Linked DNA regions of Arabidopsis thaliana. The protein of the gene in region 2 interacts with the protein of the main gene of each other region in a biochemical or structural test. Each region holds a gene or a part of one and is shown on either strand. Other genes may lie near its edges.

Region 1 (5,875 bases), on a different chromosome or scaffold from region 2:
TTCCCTCTTCTTAAAGGTAGTTAAGGGTTTTGTTTTGCTGTGGATATTTGCATTCCGTGTCATAAGTTGTTTTGTATAAGTGGGAAAGGAGAAGATGAATATTTGATGTGTATTATTATCAGGTGTTGTTGCTACAACTGATGCCGTTGAGGGATGTACTGGAGTCAATGTTGCTGTTATGGTTGGTGGTTTCCCGAGGAAAGAAGGTATGGAGAGGAAGGATGTGATGTCCAAGAATGTTTCCATCTACAAGTCTCAGGCTGCTGCCTTGGAGAAGCATGCCGCTCCTAACTGCAAGGTGATACGATCTGTTTGCTTTTTAAGTTAAATGAAGCCACTGCATCCAATCTTCTCTGTTCATTGGAGTGTAACAGATGCTTTGTGTTCTCTATTGGGTTCTAGTTTACGACTCTCTTGCTCACACATTCGCTCTCGTTTTGTCTTTTTTTTTTCAGGTTCTTGTTGTGGCCAACCCGGCAAACACCAACGCATTGATCCTCAAGGAATTTGCACCATCAATCCCTGAAAAGAACATCTCTTGTTTGACAAGGCTTGACCACAACAGGGCTTTGGGACAGATCTCTGAGAGGTTGAGCGTGCCAGTGTCTGATGTTAAGAACGTGATCATCTGGGGAAACCACTCATCCTCACAGTACCCAGATGTCAACCATGCTAAAGTGCAGACCTCGTCTGGAGAGAAGCCTGTCCGTGAGCTCGTCAAGGACGATGCATGGTATGTATAACATGCCATAGAACTTAAGACCCTTTCTCTTCTCTGGAAGCAAAATCTAGTTTCACTTAAATATATTGCTCATTCTGTAGGTTGGACGGAGAATTTATCTCTACAGTTCAACAACGTGGAGCTGCAATCATCAAGGCGAGGAAGTTGTCTAGTGCGCTCTCTGCTGCTAGCTCTGCTTGTGACCACATCCGTGACTGGGTCCTTGGAACTCCAGAGGTTCATAATAAAACTCTTCCCCGTTATTTGCAGTGCTGTTTTTTTGTAACAGTTAATCTAATATGAGTTCTTTCTTTGATTCAAATTGTCAGGGTACGTTCGTTTCCATGGGAGTATACTCCGATGGCTCTTACAGCGTTCCATCAGGACTTATCTACTCCTTCCCTGTAACTTGTCGCAATGGAGACTGGAGTATTGTCCAAGGTAAATATGACGCACTTACAAACTCAAATGCTCATCAATTATGAAATCCTAGATTCTGCAGACCCTAATGTGTATTTTGTTTGGTTAGGCCTTCCGATTGATGAAGTATCAAGGAAGAAGATGGATTTGACTGCAGAGGAGCTCAAGGAAGAGAAGGACTTGGCGTACTCATGCCTCTCTTAAACCCTTCTGGAGCAAAATTTTCATCTATAAGGTGTGAGATCAGTTAAAGCCTTTCAGGGCTTTGTCCGAATAAGAAGTGTGTTTGAAAGATCTCCAAACACTGTTTTATAACCTCTTTGGTCTCTTTGATGAGTATTGTCCCTGGTCTGTTTCTAAACCAGGATATCGTTTTTTTCAATGTGTCTGATTTGGTTTACCCATGAAAAGAAGAAAATTGGCAGTTGCATGGTTATCTTTTGCGATTATTTTTTTCTGCTTTAGCAATTAGCCCAAAATTGATGAGCTCTTCGATAATGGGTTTGTGCAATTGTGATTTGTGAGGAATGGTGTTATTGTGTTGCAATTGCAAAAAGAAATGCTACTCTTGCAGATTCATACCAAAACCAAATCACTAGATTAAACTGAAATTCTAATGTGGATTATTTTAATTTTACTTCTATTTTTCTTCACCCAAATATTTTATAACCAAACACCAAGTTGACACCAAAATATACATCCAAAAAACTTAGATTGCTTCTATTTTACGACTATCCGAAATCGAATCATAAACCGTAGGCAATGGTCCATTAATAAGGGGTATACGAGGATTCAAAGTTTGAGAGAACTTTTTTATCTTTACCTTTTTCCTTTTGTAAAGTAAAAGCAGTGGATTTTGATTATAGATTCTACTTGGTAATGACTAATGAGAATCAAGTTCTCACCTTTAAGCCATATAGACTTTAGATATTTAATGGATTCTACAAAAGTGGGCATGACCAGAATCGAGTTCATGAACCACCGTCCTCGGCCCCAACGTTAAAAAACTTTTTTCTCTAGCATAAGAAGATAAGAGTATCTTCACTGCGCTTTAGGCCCACTCAACATTCAAACAAAATTCGATCTCTTATAAAAAAATATCTCACAAGAGAAAGTTCGTACATGATCCCGATAAAATCGTAGATGAGCAAATCAAAGATGAGATGTCGGTAAAAAAAACGCTATTATAAGAACACACGCCACTAGTTGTGGATAAAGTTGTCTACTTTTGTCTCGTTGTGATTATTATATTGCACAATTATTAACATTCATACTCTCATATGGGTATTGTTTTTGGTCTCCGTTAGATCTCAAATCTTTAACTTTGCATACCCAAAATAGGAAGAAAGAAGAGTCAAGTCACTAAAATAACTTTCACAGTCTTTGATTCGAAGATCTTTGTCGCCGAGAGATATCCACTCTGATTTGAGTTCTGGTAAAAAGTTTCCAGCTTTTGATTTTTGTTTCTCTCAATTGAATTTCTCTTGCTTGCTCTGTTTAAAAGGATTAGGATTAAATCGAATCTCTCTCTGTTATGTTTTTTTGTAGATTATTTTGGATTTTAGGACTCAAAGATTACAGATTTCTTATCAATCATTCTCTGTTATTGTTATAGAACTATTCTCTGGAGGAGGTTGAGGTCTGAAATCATGGAACAACTTGGTTAGAGTGTGGAATTTTAGCTGATTTGATCTTTGATTCATCTGTGATCATAATAACTATGAAGATGGACAAAAAGACTATAGTTTGGTTTAGAAGAGACCTAAGGATTGAGGATAATCCTGCATTAGCAGCAGCTGCTCACGAAGGATCTGTTTTTCCTGTCTTCATTTGGTGTCCTGAAGAAGAAGGACAGTTTTATCCTGGAAGAGCTTCAAGATGGTGGATGAAACAATCACTTGCTCACTTATCTCAATCCTTGAAGGCTCTTGGATCTGACCTCACTTTAATCAAAACCCACAACACGATTTCAGCGATCTTGGATTGTATCCGCGTTACCGGTGCTACAAAAGTCGTCTTTAACCACCTCTATGGTATATACTCTTTCATCTCTTATTCAAAGGATATATATTCTTATTAAGTTAGTGTAGTCTAAGTGCAACTGAGGTTGATGCGATCACGTTTTTCTTTGTTGTAGATCCTGTTTCGTTAGTTCGGGACCATACCGTAAAGGAGAAGCTGGTGGAACGTGGGATCTCTGTGCAAAGCTACAATGGAGATCTATTGTATGAACCGTGGGAGATATACTGCGAAAAGGGCAAACCTTTTACGAGTTTCAATTCTTACTGGAAGAAATGCTTAGATATGTCGATTGAATCCGTTATGCTTCCTCCTCCTTGGCGGTTGATGCCAATAACTGCAGGTAAAACCTTAAAGAGTATTACTTAAAAGCTAAAACGTTTTTGATTTCTTCAGGACATAAGCGGTAGTAAAAGTTTATGGCTTTTTCTTTGTTAGCGGCTGAAGCGATTTGGGCGTGTTCGATTGAAGAACTAGGGCTGGAGAATGAGGCCGAGAAACCGAGCAATGCGTTGTTAACTAGAGCTTGGTCTCCAGGATGGAGCAATGCTGATAAGTTACTAAATGAGTTCATCGAGAAGCAGTTGATAGATTATGCAAAGAACAGCAAGAAAGTTGTTGGGAATTCTACTTCACTACTTTCTCCGTATCTCCATTTCGGGGAAATAAGCGTCAGACACGTTTTCCAGTGTGCCCGGATGAAACAAATTATATGGGCAAGAGATAAGAACAGTGAAGGAGAAGAAAGTGCAGATCTTTTTCTTAGGGGAATCGGTTTAAGAGAGTATTCTCGGTATATATGTTTCAACTTCCCGTTTACTCACGAGCAATCGTTGTTGAGTCATCTTCGGTTTTTCCCTTGGGATGCTGATGTTGATAAGTTCAAGGCCTGGAGACAAGGCAGGACCGGTTATCCGTTGGTGGATGCCGGAATGAGAGAGCTTTGGGCTACCGGATGGATGCATAACAGAATAAGAGTGATTGTTTCAAGCTTTGCTGTGAAGTTTCTTCTCCTTCCATGGAAATGGGGAATGAAGTATTTCTGGGATACACTTTTGGATGCTGATTTGGAATGTGACATCCTTGGCTGGCAGTATATCTCTGGGAGTATCCCCGATGGCCACGAGCTTGATCGCTTGGACAATCCCGCGGTAAACTACAAAACTTGTCTTATAGTTTAGAATTCAAAGCTTAATACCAGTTTTTGCTATGCATTCGTTTTTTATTTTATTTTTCAGCTTATTTGGTTTGGTTGATTTAGTTCTGAAGTCTATGAAAACTCTGTTTTTATTTCAGTTACAAGGCGCCAAATATGACCCAGAAGGTGAGTACATAAGGCAATGGCTTCCCGAGCTTGCGAGATTGCCAACTGAATGGATCCATCATCCATGGGACGCTCCTTTAACCGTACTCAAAGCTTCTGGTGTGGAACTCGGAACAAACTATGCGAAACCCATTGTAGACATCGACACAGCTCGTGAGCTACTAGCTAAAGCTATTTCAAGAACCCGTGAAGCACAGATCATGATCGGAGCAGCACCTGATGAGATTGTAGCAGATAGCTTCGAGGCCTTAGGGGCTAATACCATTAAAGAACCTGGTCTTTGCCCATCTGTGTCTTCTAATGACCAACAAGTACCTTCGGCTGTTCGTTACAACGGGTCAAAGAGAGTGAAACCTGAGGAAGAAGAAGAGAGAGACATGAAGAAATCTAGGGGATTCGATGAAAGGGAGTTGTTTTCGACTGCTGAATCTTCTTCTTCTTCGAGTGTGTTTTTCGTTTCGCAGTCTTGCTCGTTGGCATCAGAAGGGAAGAATCTGGAAGGTATTCAAGATTCATCTGATCAGATTACTACAAGTTTGGGAAAAAATGGTTGCAAATGATCAAAATAATGTGCTGTTATAAAGCCTAACATGTAGATGTGTGAATGTGTCTTTTAACTCTTTGTTTCCTTTTGGTTATACTCAAAAGGATATGATTGCATAAACATATAATGCTGATATTATTTCAATTGGCTATGAATAAAATATACATATTTGTTTAGTCTTTGAATTTGTTTCATCTGAGTTGTTTAGTTTGAGGAAAAAGATAACGGCCAATTTATATTTCTTTATAAAGAAAAGAAAGGAAATCTCGATACACGACGTTTTTATATGAAACAAATGCAGTTGGAAATAAAAGTAACAAATCATTGGTCTAAAAACCCCAATGAAAAATAGTAACTAAATGACTGAATACTACGGTAAGATTTTTTTAATTTCTATAAAAATATAAGATTTTTTTTGATGATTAAAATATTTTTTTATAATCAATTACAAATAATTATCATATCTTGAAAACAACAAGAATTTTTTTGATATAATAAAAATATTAAATTAAATTACAAAAATAAACGATACTAGAATTATATTTCATTGAAATTTCTTATATATATATATAGCTGATATTTTAATACAATTATTAATTTATGATATTGATGGGACTATATGTTTACATAGGATTTTCAAAAAAAAAATATTTTATTAATTTATCGATTTGTATCGCTTTTTACACTAGTCCCAAATACTGAAAGAATTTATTATTTTATAAAAATGATTAATTTATCGAATATTAATTTATAAAGGTTTTACTGTACTTGCATGGCACAACAACGAGAAAAAGTCCACGCGATAAAGCTTCAATGTCAGGAATCATCAGGCGTCGAAATGTTTGAC
Region 2 (6,333 bases):
ATCACCACTATCACTTCCATCGTCGGCTTCAATGTCACTCTCTGGAGGTTCGAAATCGGGGTCATCTGGATCGCTTTGGTAAATCAATCTTTCCTCCCACCAATTCTTCATTTCTCCCTATTCGAAACCCAAATCGAGACCCAAAAATTCGAACCGAAGAAGAAAACCCCAAATCCCCTTTTGTCTTTCTCTCTCAAGAACCCTAATTTCACAGTGTCGAGATTAAAGAAGAACGACTAAATCGATTTGAGAGTTAAAGAAGAAGAATGAAAACGACGTCGTTTTCTTTCTCTTTTTGATGAGTTAAACGAAATGAAAACGACGTCGTTTTCTTAACGGGTCTGGGTATTAGTTGGGTTAATCGCAATCGCGGTACAGTAAACGCGGATTTGTGGTTAATCCCGGTTAAATGAATGGTTCAATTGGAAATGTATGTTTAAGCATGAATCCAAAAATAGATGATGTAATTTTGGGAATATGAAAGTTGATGGTGGAAATTTAAAGGCCCAAAAGTCCGGGTGTGAAAGCTGAGAATCGAAATAGTTTATGGCTCGAAAATCAGCCAACCCAAATTTAATCCACTAACTAGTTCTCTACCAAATCGATCAATTCTAGGTGTTTGTATTTCAATATTGAGACTACAATTTTATACGTTTTTTTTTTTTAATAATAGCAATTGAAAATGCATGTTTGGATCAAGTCAAGCTTTTTGATATAATTTTTTTCAATGCACAAAATCGAGTAAGAAAAATCAAACACAGAATACCATTAAACTGAATAGGAAATTCAGAGAAAAAAAAAGGGGGAAGTGTTTCTCGGAGCATTCCAGAAGCTAGCCATAGCTTATCCTTTTACGTTCTCGTCAGCTGCACATTAGCTTGATGGTGACATGTCCCTGCCACAAGCAACTCTTGACTCAAGCCTTTGAAGGCATCTCTGCTGAAGCTGCTCATGCTTTGCTCTTGATTTTCTGCAAACAATGTTGATGACACAGCAAACCCAGGTTATGCCCCAACACAGGGAACTACGTACAGAAATACGAACAAAGTTTTATAGAAGAAAACTTGGGAGAATGAATCACAAGAACCAAATTACACGCCCGGTTGCAAGATTTTATACAAAGGTTGAAGTCAGTCATTTGTGAGAATCTTGAAGGAAAGCAAACATAATCTTCATGCCTTTTGTCAAACAGTAAGCTGTTCATGGAAAAACTCCATTCAGATCTTCAACCTCAGTCTAGAGCTTTTCACTGCAGAAATCACAGTTTAGACCCAAAGGCACACATAATCTTGCTCAGCAGATCAGATGAATGATATACTCCAACTTTTTTTGCATCATTTCCCCGGTGACATGAATGGTGAAGTCCAACCGCCGGTTTTATTCCCGCTCCCAAACCCAGAATTTGAGGTTTCGGGTCTGACATTTCTTTTTGAGGTACCCGCAGGAGATAATGAAGTGGATGATGGCATGTTCATCTGCAATGGGTTTTCAGTAAAATAATGGTCAAGAGCATATTTCGTGATGATCAGTATCGTGTTTTAATCATTTATGCTATATGTAGTTCATATCACAATATAGAGCTCGTTGATGACAATTGACCATGCAAAACAGGTAAAAGCTTTAAGCAGAGAACCATGCAGAACTCTGAAGCAACACAGATGCAGGCATGAGATGCTAACACAAGGGGGAGGGTTGCAGGATACAACATTTATTTGGAAGAGGCAAATGAATAAGCACGTACATTCTTGTGGACTTGATCAAAACCCAGACTCCTCCCTACAGCGGTATTAATCTGTGGGCTTGGACCACTGGCATTAGCCGGTCTGACACGGTCAGAGACTTGGGCTTCATGTGAAATCTTAGTTCCTCCTGCCAAACGGAGAGTTAGCATCAAGATATTGAAATAAACAGTTGCAACGGGAAACTAAATCAGCCAAACACTCTATGCCAGTTGAGTCCAGTGTGAAAGTCGAGAGAAAACAAAAAACACATCATATACTATTACAAAATTAATCAGAAAGTGACACAATTAAAATTTATAACTCGAGCTGACCTCGATGATTGCTTGTGTCCATTGGTATTGCACGAGCATTACTAGACCCAGGAACGGCCTGCAGCATGACAGTTTATTGTTAGGAAGACAGGCATATCTATATTTAGCACCAAAACTAAAAAATAGCAAAACCAAGTAAAACTTCTCCCCAGGAAATCTTCTCTATGAACAAGACAAAATATGCATACACCTGGAGAAAAAAAAATAACAAATGGTATTGATAAACTATACCTGAGACTGACTTCTAGTTTTCTGTGATTGCTGATACTTTATAATAGTCCAGTCATATATATAGTCAAACTCATATCCTGCAAAGAAGAAAACGTTTAAGTGAGCTAGGTAGATAACTGATGCTAGCAGAGAGGATTATAAAAATGATGGAGGGATGTCTTTCTCAAAGTACCTTCCCGTGAGAATAAATCACGAAAAAGCCGCTTCAAGAATCCATAATCAGGGCGTTGATCAAATGTCAGTGTGTGGCAATAATGAAAATATGAAGCAAACTCCACGGGGTGGCTTTTGCATAGAACCTACAAAGGATGGGATATTATTCAGTTGAATGAGGATTAACAAAAAACAATTCACTCACACAGTAGAGGGAAATAGACCTCAATAGGAGTTGATATCTTCTTCTCACAAATTTTGTCATACTTTTGCTTCTTGTCAACAGCCTTAAGACCCTGCCATGGAAGGCTAGAAAAGGAGGTTCATTAAAATAGGAACAAAATGTAAAGCAAGAAAACGGTTAAGTAAATCTCAAACAAGGAAAAACAATACCCTGCCAAAAACACAATGTTAACTAGGTTCTTTCAAGTCAAAAAGTCAACACACCTTCCTCTTAAGAAGTACAGAAGCACATATCCAAGAGACTCTAGGTCATCCCGTCTACCTTGCTCTGCGAAAGAGAAATCGAAATATGTGAGCAAAAACTTTACTTCACAAAGGGGAGAAAAAAGTGGCAGCATTCCTTACCAATACCAAGATGTGTATTGCAACTTGCATATCGTGCAGTTCCTGTTAAATTCTTGTTTTCCCTGAATACAACCAAATAAAAGGTAATAAGTTGTATAATGTGACCTTAAAAACTTATAACAGATAAGATAATTTACCACCTCCAGATGGTAGACACAATATAATGAACCATGGCCACAAATACCTATAAGGGATGTGGCGGTTGGTGTTGGCATCACGATATCTTTTGGCCAGTCCAAAGTCAATTAGATAAACCTGATTCGCTTTGCGGCCTAGGCCCATGAGAAAGTTATCTGGTTTTATATCTCTATGCAGATATCCTTTGGAATGTACATATTCTATTCTAGTTAGCTGTAAAATCGGAATAAGAAAATCATAAGCACATTAGATGATAAATGTATAACTCAAGAGAAATGATTAGTATTTAAACAGAACCAGACGCAATAAATGTGATTAAAACTCATGCCATACCATTTGATCAGCCAACATCAAGACCGTCTTTGGTGAAAATTTTCTCCCACAGTAGACGAAAAGATCTTCGAGACTTGGACCGAGCAAATCCATCACTAAAGCATTCTCTGTTCCATCAACTCCAAACCATCTTATGCGCGGAATTCCACCTGCAAAATGAGCATTGTACTGATAATCAATCCCTCCAATGACCAACAACGACAGAATGGGAAAAGATAGGAATGAGAAACATACTTCCTCCTTCAAGAGTTCTATATAGCTTAGCTTCATAGAGAAGCTGAGGATGTTTTGTTTTACTGTTCTCCTGCAAAACAATCCAAATGATCTGAGTTAAAGACAAATTGTCAGCTAAAAAGTACCATTTCAAGGAGCTTGACTGATAAATTTAGAGTTAATCAATTCAAAGAACCACACGAAACAATGAACATGATACAAAATTCCCAGAGTAGATTCGTTTAATAGCTGATTCAATTGAAACTTACGATCTTAACAGCTACAATCTCGAAGGTATCGATGTGCGTAGCTGCGAAATCAACAAACAAGGTACGTCAATTTCAAACCAAAGAAGAAGAACAAAACTCGAGAATCAACGAGAACACACCTAGGAAAATCTCTCCAAAGGAACCACCGCCAATCTTCCGTCCGAGCTTGTACTTGCCGCCGATGATACGTTCCATGGCAGCTCCGATCACAACCGAATCTGGATCATGCGCAAGGGATAGAGATATCAATTTAGGGCTTTTTTACTTCGTTGAATTTGAGAGTTGAAATTTGCGAATAGATGAGACAATAGGGGCATTAACGTAAATTGTATGGTATAGTAAGGCTAAGAAAATTTGTGTGTCGGTGACGTGGACTGAAATTTAGTTGCCACGTAGGACCGGTGGAGTTTCTAATCCACTAGTTCTAAAGTCAACGCAATGTGTCTAAATATGGATAATTTTGGGGATAATTTTGTATTGGATTTTGTCTCTTTTTACTAGGGTTTTAGCTTTTGAATTTGTTTTTTTTTGTATAGGATTTTAACAAAGAAAAAATGGAAAAAAAAAAACTTCTTCTTCTTCATCATGATTGCTCATTCGAGTTATCAATGAATCAAAGACACACAAAAATCCTCACAAAAACAATTCAGAAAAATAAATTATTAAAAAAAATAATGAAAAACGAATTTACAGTCCGTCCCCATTAACCTCGACCGCGGTGCTATGATTGCCGGAGCCTCTCCTCGTTCCGCCCGCTGGCCGGAAACTTGAATTAGAATTGCTTCTTCGAGCATTCCGGAGGCATAACACCTTTAAATCTGTTAGTGTCCTTGCAATAATCATAGATCATGAAACCATCTCTTATCTTTTGCATCTTCGTCAGCTGCGAAGCAGTGAGCTGACTAAATGATGGTGATGTCCACCAATTAGACCGTATAGTTGGATCTACACATTGCTTGATGCTGACTGATCCCTTCCACAAACAAGCTCTTGCCTTGTACCTACGACCCTCGGCCACAAATGGTGCTAGCGTCCAGTTAGTCTTCACTCGACCTCCTTGTGTTGCCCAGTCTTCTGCGTTCCATAGACTCGCAAACACTTTCATACCTTGCTTGTTCGGGTATGCGATTCCTTCACTTTCGTAGTTTCTAAAAACTCTGATCGGAGTTCCATCGACGAACCACCTATATAAGATATACAACATGGTGTGCGACACGTTTATTTATAGAAAGGAAATAAAAACATATAATCGTTTGAGATTCCTAAAGTTTTTTTGGTTTGAAGGTTCGAAAACATTAAGGAACTAAAAGAAAAATTCATCATGAAGTGTTTGTACTTTAATGTTGTTTTACAGTAACAAACTAAACTATCTAAGTAACATTTAATCTTACTTAAGTTTTTTTGATGTGGTATTTCATTGATAGAAAGTACCATTTCTTAGCATTTGTTTGGAGTTTTTATAAAGTACTTAAGAAACCGCCATAGCCATAAGTTAATTACTTACACAACTTCGGATGGGTTCCAATGGATGGTATAGTTGTGGAAACCATTGGTCGGGTTGAACCATGGCCGGAATTGTTGTTCGCGGTTTCCTTTCCCTTGAGCATATAAGTTGGTGTGGATCGTGTACGGCTGACCAGTCGCATTTCCTAGGAACTCGAAGTCTATCTCATCGTGTGTACTTCCCGTAGACGATAACTACAAAGAAAAATCTGAAAACATTAATCTAATTTTTCTATATATAAAAGAATTGCGTATTGATTCTATTTTTTTTTATTTTTTTTGTAATTCTATCGATCGAGTTCAAAAGAAAATTTTACGTAATAGGCTGCAACGGTTCCAGCAGAATTCCCTGGCACAAGTTTGATGAGCATTTCTACGCTTCCAAACAAATGAGCCACCTTTGATTTAATAGCAGATCCTGCAAAAACAAACAAAAACATAAAAACAGTTATACATGTTTATCTATCAAGTTTCTCATGAAATAATAGACTAAAATTAAATGGACTGATTTTAAAGTTATTGTGTTATAAGATTACTATATACCTGCAGATTTGTCTAGGACAAGTCGAAGGTTGGTACCATTCATGAACATGTGATCTTTACCCCATGTAACAATAAAATTCTTACTGAAGTCTGCCTCCACAAATGTGCGACCAAGAGTCGCTAAGGCAGCTGCCAGAACGAACATTAACGTCTTCGCTTGAAGACCCGCCATCTTACGAATTTGATTTGTGTTTGGAATGTTTTGGATTGGAACTCTATTCGATCACCATTTGTTTGTCAGTAAGGCTTTCTTTATATATAACTTCTAAGAAATCGAAATTTTGACGTAGTCCAAAAAGTATAGAGTTT

The links.
Region 1: the proteins of ckl4 (region 2) and CRY2 form a complex in vitro, tested with the Arabidopsis thaliana proteins (one study listed by BioGRID).

The regions. Positions count from the first base shown.
Region 1 is NC_003070.9:1,184,888-1,190,762, reverse strand, and holds CRY2 (cryptochrome 2), read left to right. Parts: upstream 1-2,066; 5' UTR 2,067-2,576; intron 2,577-2,689; exon of another isoform or gene 2,690-2,756; 5' UTR 2,757-2,861; coding exon 2,862-3,174; intron 3,175-3,278; coding exon 3,279-3,503; intron 3,504-3,598; coding exon 3,599-4,311; intron 4,312-4,456; coding exon 4,457-5,044; 3' UTR 5,045-5,251; downstream 5,252-5,875. Other genes in the region: c-NAD-MDH1 (Lactate/malate dehydrogenase family protein), read left to right, coding at 1-16, 123-298, 456-733, 823-958, 1,051-1,162, 1,251-1,345.
Region 2 is NC_003075.7:14,244,199-14,250,531, reverse strand, and holds ckl4 (casein kinase I-like 4), read right to left. Parts: upstream 4,273-6,333; 5' UTR 4,174-4,272; coding exon 4,098-4,173; intron 4,020-4,097; coding exon 3,979-4,019; intron 3,801-3,978; coding exon 3,731-3,800; intron 3,646-3,730; coding exon 3,497-3,645; intron 3,377-3,496; coding exon 3,210-3,376; intron 3,088-3,209; coding exon 3,026-3,087; intron 2,949-3,025; coding exon 2,885-2,948; intron 2,747-2,884; coding exon 2,662-2,746; intron 2,584-2,661; coding exon 2,457-2,583; intron 2,362-2,456; coding exon 2,285-2,361; intron 2,112-2,284; coding exon 2,054-2,111; intron 1,870-2,053; coding exon 1,742-1,869; coding exon of another isoform or gene 1,709-1,741; exon of another isoform or gene 1,476-1,708; coding exon 1,335-1,475; 3' UTR 660-1,334; downstream 1-659. Other genes in the region: AT4G28870 (mutator transposase MUDRA protein), read right to left, coding at 1-111; XTH26 (xyloglucan endotransglucosylase/hydrolase 26), read right to left, coding at 4,751-5,162, 5,483-5,676, 5,799-5,899, 6,025-6,196.